3 linked regions of the Saccharomyces cerevisiae S288C genome follow. The protein of the gene in region 2 interacts with the protein of the main gene of each other region in a pairwise test. Each region holds a gene or a part of one and is shown on either strand. Other genes may lie near its edges.

What was found.
Region 1: the proteins of APP1 (region 2) and AIM2 interact in a two-hybrid assay, tested with the Saccharomyces cerevisiae proteins (2 studies listed by BioGRID).
Region 3: the proteins of APP1 (region 2) and PIN3 interact in binary tests that used the Saccharomyces cerevisiae proteins (3 or more experiments, as listed by UniProt).

The regions. Positions count from the first base shown.
Region 1 is NC_001133.9:51,195-54,362, forward strand, and holds AIM2 (protein AIM2), read right to left. Parts: upstream 1,402-3,168; coding exon 661-1,401; downstream 1-660. Other genes in the region: oleate-activated transcription factor OAF1, read left to right, coding at 1-513; ERMES complex Ca(2+)-binding regulatory GTPase GEM1, read right to left, coding at 1,607-3,168.
Region 2 is NC_001146.8:445,722-449,932, forward strand, and holds APP1 (phosphatidate phosphatase APP1), read left to right. Parts: upstream 1-1,889; coding exon 1,890-3,653; downstream 3,654-4,211. Other genes in the region: YNL095C (uncharacterized protein), read right to left, coding at 1-1,119; Rab family GTPase YPT53, read left to right, coding at 4,147-4,211. UniProt on the Saccharomyces cerevisiae protein: Mg(2+)-dependent phosphatidate (PA) phosphatase which catalyzes the dephosphorylation of PA to yield diacylglycerol. May play a role in vesicular trafficking through its PAP activity at cortical actin patches.
Region 3 is NC_001148.4:832,561-835,831, reverse strand, and holds PIN3 (Pin3p), read right to left. Parts: upstream 1,268-3,271; coding exon 620-1,267; downstream 1-619. Other genes in the region: NCA2 (Nca2p), read left to right, coding at 1-269; MAY24 (May24p), read right to left, coding at 1,587-2,004, 2,139-2,143; URN1 (Urn1p), read left to right, coding at 2,374-3,271.

The sequences.
Region 1 (3,168 bases), on a different chromosome or scaffold from region 2:
AAACTGGACAAAAAGGATAGGCTATTAGAGGAATTGATGGCATGCAATCACGTTGCGAATTTTAGCGTTGAAGATATAGATGAGCTGAACCGTAATATCAAAAAAGAGATTCAAATTTCTTCAGGATTGAAGCCGCCTGTAAACACAATTGACTTAACCAACGGCGAACCATTCGGAAATGCTGTTCCTACCTTCACAAAGACATGGAGTTCATCCTTAGATAATTTAGAAAAACTATCATCGGCCGCTGCAGTTGGTCAGAGCTTGGACTACAACAGTGGTTTACGTCAGGGTCCTTTGGCGGGTGGTGGTTCAAAAGAGCAAACGCCAATAGCCGGGATGAATAACTTGAACAATTCAATCAATGCTACACCAATTGTCGATAACTCATCTGGATCACAACTTCCTAATGGTTTCGATAGAGGCCAAGCGAATAATACTCCTTTTCCAGGTTATTTTGGAGGTTTGGATTTATTTGATTATGACTTTTTGTTTGGCAATGACTTTGCTTAAAAATTTTCTTTCCAAACTCCTACCTATTCATTTCATCAATTAATTAATATTATATAGCCACGAATTTATGAAACTGACCGATAATATAAAGTGCTCAATATATATATATATGTATATAACGGTTAACGTAAGAAGAGCTCTTCCCTCTTAAACATTCGAAAAATGATTGAACCAGTATATTTGGTCGAGCAAGACTTTCTCCTTCGCATATTTTACGGCAGGTATGGATATATCGCCTCTTGCTGCAAACCCGTGAGCCACACCACTGAAGAGGTCTAACTGGTAAGTAGCGTGATTATCCTTTAATTTTTCCTCCGTTAAGTGTCTTAAGTTTGCCGGAAAGATGTGATCCTCTTCCGCTGCTGAAATCAATATTGGTTTCTTGCTATCAATTGCTTCAATTTCCTCGATGCTGACGAAAGATGGATGTGCAATGGCTGCAGCATTGGCAAGACCCCCGTCGCCACTAATGTGTTGGACGGCAAACTTTGCACCAAAACAGTAACCCACAACGCCAATAAACTTTGGGTCATATTCAAGTTTTAACAACTTCATGAATCCATCAACAATTTTCTTGGTGACTTCAGGAGAATGTCTTTGAAACCAGGCATCACGATCAATTGGTTTGTCCGATGAGATAGCATCGCCGAATAAAATATCGGGAACAAAGACCATGTACCCAGCACTAGCAAATTTGTCGGCCGTTAATAAAACATTGTTGAATTTATTGCCATACACATCTGTCAAGATAACTATAACTTTTTCCTTGGGAGATGTAGAGCCTGCTGCATAAGTATCTAAACCGAAGATTTCTTCACGACGACCCTTGGGTGTTCCATCGTGACAAACTCCTTCAAAGCAACACTTGCCAGGTTGATTAGATGCCATTTGATTGAAATAATTTTGTTCTGCTGTAGTTAGACGTAGTGGAAAACTTTAAGTCTACTGAGTCTTGAGACCTTATCACCCTTTGAAGGTTTCTTGCAAATGAGCGTGGTTTGGCATTTTTTATCGGAAAGAAAAAAAGGGCTCCGCCTTAGGCCAGATATCATAGAAATGCAACACTTCCCTAATATAGAAATTTGGGCATTAATTATTTTGAGAATTTTGATGATTTGAATAATTTCATTAACGTAAAGGAACATAGTGCTACGAATCCAACAGTGGACCCAAAAATGAGAGCCGTTTGTCTGTAGTCGACATCTTTTGCTGCTGTTTCTTCTGGCAATCCCGGAGTGTTTTTGCCAGGATCAAGAGCAGCTTCTGTGATTTTAATAAACAATTCATTAAGGGAACTTAGCCATCTGGATGATATGTGCAGTGGGTGGTTCACAAATAGCTCGTCTGCCAGTTCATCTGGTTGGATTTGACACCTTTGTTGCTGCTTATCCAAATCTGCCTTAGAAGCTACAAATACCAACGGTAGATCTTGTAAATGTGTGAATTTGTCTAGAAGCGAAACTAAGTAGGAGAATGATTCTGGGTCGCTGGAATCGTATGTTAGACAGATTACGTCACATTCTTTTAACTTATCCTTATTCTCTAGTATGGCGTATTCCTGTTCTCCAAGTTCTTGCAAAATCAAATAGTACTGTTTCCCACCTTTGAGTTCTAAACTATTGACTGCAATTCTTGGTTTGATTGTCGGAGAATACTCCTCCGAGAAAGATCTGCCCAAGAAGGCCTCTAGCAAAGAGCTTTTGCCGCAACATGGCTTTCCAATGACAAAGCAATTGAACACTTTTCTGTCATTGATATTGGATCTGTAAAGTTTCCCGGAACGGCGTCTCATTTTCCTTGGCTTGGTTACTTGTAGGGCTAGTCTTGCATCTTCCTGAAAGCCAAAATACACCAAGTAAGCGGTAGTTGTGCTATAGTTCAAGAAAGTCGTCATACTCCATTGTGCTAGCCAGCCTTGTAAGGTGATGCAACCCTTGTTGTTTACGACAGTGGAGAAGGGGAAATTCGTTGAGGTCCATAGTTTAGGCAGCCCTGGTGTGCACTTAAATAGACGATGTAATTCTTGATTATTCAAACCACCATCATTGTCGATATCAAACTTCAAAAAAATATCTACAAGAAATCTGTAGCCCTTGGGGCTCAATTCCACACTGGAAGTGTCAGGGACAACCAACCTCGGATGGAGAATTTTGTCATTAATACACAAGGAATCTGTGTAATGGAAAGTTCTTAGGATAGCCCATGTAGTTTCGTGTCTCCCCCTTTCAGCGTATATTTTGTTCAGTACAAGGAAACCATCTTTGGTGATGCCTTTTCCCGGTACGTATAGCTTGCGGTTAATGTACTCTTGATCGTGCTTGGAAATATCCAAAAGCAAATCTTTAATAAAATTCAGTTCGTTTACATCGATACTCTTATTGAAGCACTTTTTTTGTAAGCCCAAGATTTCGTTGTCATCTAAATATGAGTCCTGGTTTAAATCGCTTAAAAGAAAAATTCTTTTTAAAGCCATGACAGCCAATGGCTTTAGTTCACCTACCATGGCATCAAATAAAGGTGATATTGGGTGTGTTATAGCCCTTTGGCAAAGATAAAACGCTTGGTTAAGATCAAACTGTGTCTTGGCACTTGTCTTAATGCAAGTGTCGATTTCTTTAAACTCCATTAATATTGGGATAAATTCTTCATCCTCCA
Region 2 (4,211 bases):
GTACTCTCTGATAAGATGGTGTATATTTTGAGAAGGTAATGCACGCATATCAATGGAGCGGATAGGTTCCAATGCCGCCATAGACATATTTTTTGGGCATTTTTCATCTAAACAGTTCTCTTCTAGGAGTGTGGTAGTATTGTAAGCTCTCGGCTGGCTCGCGGTTCTACGTGCTCTCATAGTATCTATGCTACTCTCATAACTCTCTGACGTATTATAAGAATGTATTGTTGAAGCAGATGATTGGCTATCTAATGGATTTGAACCACGAGTTGCCTGTGACTCTTCGCTTTGAGTGCACGCAATAGTATTTCTTGCCTTCACCTGAACTGGTTTTGTAATCTTTGAATTCGAAGAAGTGTCTGGTAGTGACAGGGGAGCTATACTATTTGTTGATCTCCTTGAAATTGGTGGTACGTCTGCGTTTTCACCCTTTGTACCTATAGCTTCAGTGAGACTATCGCGAGCGGTGTACTTATTGTTGAAAAGCTGTTGTTCGTTTGAGAAGAAACGCTCGCTAGTATCTGTATTAGTTGTGTTTGCACTTACTGCGGGCTGTGTCTTTGTCGTTTCTGAAACCCTAACGGCGCTTTCATCGTCGTTGTACTCGAAATCGCTTTCAATCAGTCGAAACCCCCCCAAATTGAAAATGCAAATTAGAAACATTGTCAGAAATATAATGACGTTAGCCACACCTTTGTTACCTTCTTCTTCCGAAAATACAAGCCCTTGGTCCATAGATTGTAAATATGCAATTGGTAAATCACTTATATTTGGAAACATACCACCGGCAAGAATACCACCGTACCATTGTTTAGGAACAGGCAGGAATAGCCTAACAACGTATGCAAAAAAGAACCCAGAACCAAATATTAGGAGGGCAGACAGACAGATAATTCCCACAGATTTGATGTCTTTATCTTCAATATTAGCGACAATCTTGTTGAATGACAGAGAGGGTAGTAAAACTGTTAGCACGATATCAGAAATAATTCTTGTTGCTTCAACCGTAAGAATTCCCATTTTAGCCATCAGAAAGCCGACTCCTATAATCAAATAAATCTTGATTATCGGCTTAACTGACACCCATATCGCTTGACCCAGAGTAATGTGCACCATCTGATGAAAATTTGAGGTTTCAATCCCTTTCTCTGTTTGATTCTATAACTTCTCCAAAAAAATTGCGCTGACGCTAATTAGTCACTGTTTATATCTTTTTTAGCGATGATTTGTAACAATATGCCATAAAAGCGTTCTCTAACTGCGGAAGTGATGAGAATTGAATAGTTTTATTCAGAAGGCAATATATCCTAATATGGCACAAAAAGGCAACTTGTATGCACAAAATGAGCATAAGAGTTCAGGCAGAACGTTGTGCTCTTGATCCAAAGGTTAAAAGTCATCGAGTAGGAAGATATTGTAACCTTCGCGCAAACCGCAGCCGCAGCGGGTCACGTGGTCGCGCAAATGATGATGAGGGCGCGGTCTAACTTTCCAAACGAGGTTACCAACAATTCTCGGACAGATAAAGCATTAGAATAGGGTGGCAACGCCTTTACGGTTAGCTTGTTCATTGTGATTGGTTTGTGTATCTTTTCTTGGCTTTTTATGCCCACGAGACATAAAGTATACGAAGCTGTTATACTATTCGTGATCCAGGGCAAAAATTTAGCATCATTAAGGCATATATATCGCAAATAGTGGGTTGCACAAGGCTTTCAATAAACAGTGTCATATGTTTCTCTAGCTCTGTCGGTTTGTTGGCTATAAAGAGTTTGTCTAGTAATCGCCGTCTTTTCTTGGGACCATTAACACAGACAAGGACATTGAAACTTGGCTATAAGTTCCGTCAAAGGGGGAAAAAATTGCTTTGGAGAAGGAATAAAAAGATGAATAGTCAAGGTTACGATGAAAGCTCTTCCTCTACTGCTGCTACTAGCGGTCCTACTTCTGGAGACCCACGAATGGGTAAGAAACAACGGTTTATGAATCTCATAAGAACCACAAAGGATGTTTATATTCCTAACCTGACGTCATCCATTTCTCAAAAGACAATGGATGGCATCAGGAGCACTACGAATTCCTTCGAAGGTTATAATGACTTGCCTATGGAATTGCCACATAATACCACGATAACATATTTTCCAACGTATACCACAACTAATTTGGTTGACCCTGACGGTTTGAGTGCGCCTCGGAAAGATTTTGAAACTACTGTCAGATGTGCTGTTTCTTATCCAGGAAATCCTACAAGCAGGAGAAATAGGTGGTTGCTTTCTCTTTGTAAACAATATCTTAGAACTGGAACGGCGGAGGCCGATGTTGCACCTGTTGTTCCCCCTCATCTCGAAGAGGATTCTGGAGATTTAAACGACTCCCAATCAAGTATAGAAAGTTCTTTGTCTTCAAAGAGCGAAAATAGGTATTCACATATGGGCATCCAAGAGGAAGATGTTCTGAATGAGAGAATTCAAGGATTCCTGTCCAAAAAAGTTCCTAATACTCCAGTGGTGGTTGACCTATTGCCCAAAGATAAGCTCAGAGGGGATACGGCTTCCTTTTTTGGTACCACGGACTCTTATGGTAATTTACTAATCAAGGCAGAAACAGATTTTTTACCGTCCAAGATTAATATTACATTAGATACCCCTATAGAAGGCCATGCAGATCCCATATCTGAAACATTTCCGGCCAATTATGTCTCGCCCTACGGTATTGGTTTAATCAGTGATATTGACGACACCATCAAGCATACTGGCGTTACGGGTGACAGGAGATCGATGTTTCGTAATGTTTTCATCCATGATGTTCAATCGTGGGTAATAGATGGTGTTCCTCTTTGGTACAAAACTTTACATGATGTCGCAGACGTTGATTTCTTTTATGTTTCTAATTCACCCATCCAAACTTTTACTCTTTTGAAACAATATATTTGCGCCAATTTTCCTCCGGGTCCAATTTTTTTGAAACAATACTCTGGTAATTTCTTTTCCACTATCATGACTTCAAGTGCGAATAGAAAAATTCAGCCGATTGCAAATATCTTAAAGGATTTTCCCAAAAAAAAATTTATTTTGGTCGGTGATTCTGGTGAACATGACTTAGAAGCGTATACCACTACGGCTTTACAATTTCCGAACCAGATTCTGGCTATTTATATAAGATGTTGCTCTAATTCCATGAGTGATGTCCCATCGCATGATGAAGAAGTTATGAATGAAGTGAACAATATCATCGAATTACAACAACGGCCCATGCAAATGACCAAGTCTACCGTACGTACCAGGAGAAGACCACCACCACCTCCCATTCCTTCCACTCAAAAGCCATCGTTGACAGAAGAGCAAACCGAAAGTATAAGAATGTCACGCCGTAATAAAGATGAGAACAATGCTAAAAGAGTTGCCCCACCACCGTTGCCGAACAGACAGTTACCTAACTTAGACGCTAATACTTACTATGTACCATCCTCACAAAATGACTATGGCATGTATGGTGCTTTCATGGATAAAAAAGCAGATGAATGGAAGAGAAGAGTAATGGACTCAATTCAAAAATTGAGCAATCAAGACACCACATTGATGTTCTTTTCGGATCCGGCATTAAGTTTGGAAGACAGTATTCGCAGAATTAGGGAGAAGTATTCAAACTAAATACACTGTTATTTATATACATCGGGAGGGAGTTTAAAAATTGTATACACTAAAGTGACCTTATGAATTGGAGCCATTTTCAACGTTTTAGAGTGATGTTGCATCCTTTTCATCAGATCGGGAAATTAAAAAAACGGTTATAGAAGGGCTAAATGTAAATATGTAAATTTTATGAAGTCAAGAGTAAAGAAAATCTTCGGTTGCCGATCAAATACACTCTTACAAAATACCCTAAACTCAGTTTATCTTTCCATTCCAACTGATTATCGCGTACGCCTTGGTGACCAACCATACCCTAAAATGTCAATTTCCGGGGCGGAAGGGGTCCTTAAACTGCAAAGCCTCTTCCCATGTAAATAAAATAAATCCGTAGAATTTATTAAATATTGTCATATTATAAGTCGGGAAAGGCCTTCTGAATGCACGTATATTGACCAAATAGAGTTAGATTCAAATTATTTATTACATTTTTTCAGCATCGAAGTTAAGTAGAATGGATAAACATACAGCAGCTATTCCAACATTAACTATCAAAGTAGTCTTACTCGGAGAATCTGC
Region 3 (3,271 bases), on a different chromosome or scaffold from region 2:
AAATAAGTATAAGTTTGAATAATGTGGAAAGAGTTTTGAATTATTCTAAACAAGGTGCGGACGCCGATGAGGAACACTTAAACCAGGGTCTACTAGTGATTGAGGTTTCTAACTTATACAAATTGGGAAGTTTTTTGATCCCGCGTTCAAGAAAGAAAGAATGGTTTAGGGACGTTGAGGAACTGGTGGATACCAATCTTGACTCCGGAGCTCATATAAATGTCGTCAACAGGATATACCACGTATATGGCAGGTTTTTAATCCATTAGCGTATAGCCTGCTGGGGAAGAAGAAAGGGAAGATATTGAATATATTCTTAATGTATTTTTTGTACAGACGTAAATATAAAGAAATCAACGCAAAATCGACGCCTTTTTACTTTTTATACTTTTTTACTAAAAAGACAGATTTTCTCGCTCATATCATAAGTGATGTACTATTATCCTCCATATACGATATATCTGTTTAAAAAAAAAGAAAAAAAAAGGTTACTTAAATTCATACTCATTAGAAAAAAATTCTAGGGATAACAACACCAAAGGTAGAACTTCGTTCAATTTATGAAAGGTTTGGCCATAATGGAGAACAAATGAATGAAGTATATAAAGAGAAAAACGACTTAAAAGATATTATTAACAATATCTGACCCAATACTAGCGCCTGCCCCAAAAATGGCGGCATTACCCAATTTGCTACCAAAGCTCTTCAAGTGGCTATGTGAGCTCTGATGTTGTTGTTGTTGTTGTTGTTGTTGGGGAGGAGGAGCTTGTTGCGGCTGTTGTTGAGGCTGCTGATAATAATTTGTGGAAGGTGGAGGAAATGGCTGCTGTTGATAAGATGATGCGGCACTATTTTGCGTGGGGATTTGTTGTAATTCTTGAGCTTTATACTGTGGAGGTGGTGGAAGATTGGATGGACCGTTAGACCCAGAGAAAGCTGGCTTGACATAGTTTGCTGGGAAAATACCGGTACGGCCATTACAGCTACCCTTGTACCACTCTGGAGATAATTTTTCTAAAAGTTGGACCTTGTCACCTGGTTTTAAGCCCAAATCACCATCTTGTTGAGGATCAAATTGATAAAGAGCTTCGACATATTCCAAGGAAGCTGGACTGGCGTTGCGGGGTGCATTGGCAGGATCCCATTTTGCCGGCAAGCTCTTATTTATTTGATCGTAAACGTCATTTGAAATGACATTTGACCCTTTTAGAAAATCCAGTTCTGTCCTAATGTTTGTTAAGGAACGATTAATCAATGAAGCAGACATTTTTGAAATATCAGATTGCCTTCTTTCCTAATGTTCTTGTGTTTGCGCCAATGTGGGCACTTTGCCTATTGTCTCAACCGATTTGAGGTTCGACTATATATGCAGCTTACAATATCCATCCCCGCCTCGAAGGAGGCTCGGTTAATCACGCTGCACGAACGAAAACAATAGTTAAAGAAACGTTTAGAACAATCTAGCGCTTTGAAGAAAGAGTATTAGGCTCTTTACGTGAAGGATGGCACATTCTCATTCAAAAGTTGCTGCTAACTTTTATCATCAAATCAGTAAACCCCTTCTTGTTTTTTCTTGACAGAAGCTTTCACATAACGGAACCAACCATGGAATAACTTAGCACCACATCGAAAAGGATTTGGACTACTGCGCAACAAAGTGGGACCCATGTAGACATAGAAAATAAACCAGATCTATAGATCGCACCTATTAAAAACCCCATAACTGTACCAGTCGTCAAGCCTTGAACGCCTCCGTATAAGACGTACATGACGAATATCCATACACTTCCAGCCTTCTTTCTATGGGTCAAGCTAGCATACACACCAGCAGTAACGTAAAATGCACCATTAAAGATCAAAGTCCAGTACAGCGAAAATTTCCAAATGTCAGATATATAGTATAAGAATGCAGTATTATACTTCGAGTTGTTGATGGGCCAGTATAATGAGGGGAATTTTGGCGTTACATATCCAACAGGTATATCGTTATTTGTTACGAATGATCTGAGCACAGGGAACATGCGACAGAGTAGTGGATGTTTTTATTGTTAGTTTTGTGCCTATTATTTTCTTAAGCCACAGGGAGCGATGCCTGCATCCAGCCGTGGCGGATATAGTCTTGGTAATGAATAACATACCTCATAATACGGCAGGAAGTTGGAACTGATCTTGTTGGCAGTTTTTATCTTATACAGAAGCGTCAAGAGTAGGAAAAGGTTTTATTATTGCATATTTATCAACTTTCAGTATGTTTCTTTTTTTCTTCGGCAATGAAAGAGAAAACAATATAATTGAAGAAAGAGGAAATAGTGTCCGAAAGAGATTCTGATATGTATTATAAAGAGAAAGACAGTTCAGTAACACAGAATCGCCATGCGTGGAGAATGGCAGGAATTTAAGACACCTGCAGGCAAAAAGTATTACTATAATAAGAACACGAAGCAGTCTCGATGGGAAAAACCTAATTTGAAGAAAGGCTCTAACCTAGAAAGCAATGCGAAAGAATCACAGACAGAGAGGAAGCCAACATTTTCATTAGAACTGGTTAATGGTTGGCACTTAATAATATACAACGATGGTACAAAACTTTACTTTAATGATGACTCTAAGGAGTTCAAAAATGACATCAGTCAAGAGGACGACAGCAGGTGTCGCTCATTAATCGAGTCGTTAGATAAGGAAAAACTGGTTCTTCTGATTGGCGTTGCCAGAGGTTACACTATGCGGGAGGAGGACATTGATAAAATCCTCGAATCTTGCAACGAAGAGATTCATCTATTTAAAAGAAATCAAGACGAAGTTGAGAGAAAAGATGAGATCAGCGAAGAGGCGGGTGACGTAAAATCCCCTTTACAGGAAAGCCACACTGGGCTAGTCAGCGGGTATGGTTCATCTTCGGGGGAGGAAGACGAAGAGGAAGACGAAGAGGAAGACGAAGAGAATGAAGAACAAATTGTAAATCAAGATATCAGCATTATCGATGATCTGAATCGTATTGATACAGATGACATTGACGAGCGTAATATCTTCTTCGAATTATTCGATAGGTATAAACTAGACAAGTTTTCCACGTGGTCGCTGCAAAGCAAGAAAATCGAAAACGATCCTGATTTTTACAAGATCAGAGATGACACAGTTCGTGAAAGTCTTTTCGAAGAATGGTGCGGCGAGCGCAGTGGCAATGCCACCGCTGAAGAAAGCGATAGCGAAGATAATAGCGAAGACGATAGCGAAGTACTAGAACCAACAAAATACCATTATCTGGCACAAA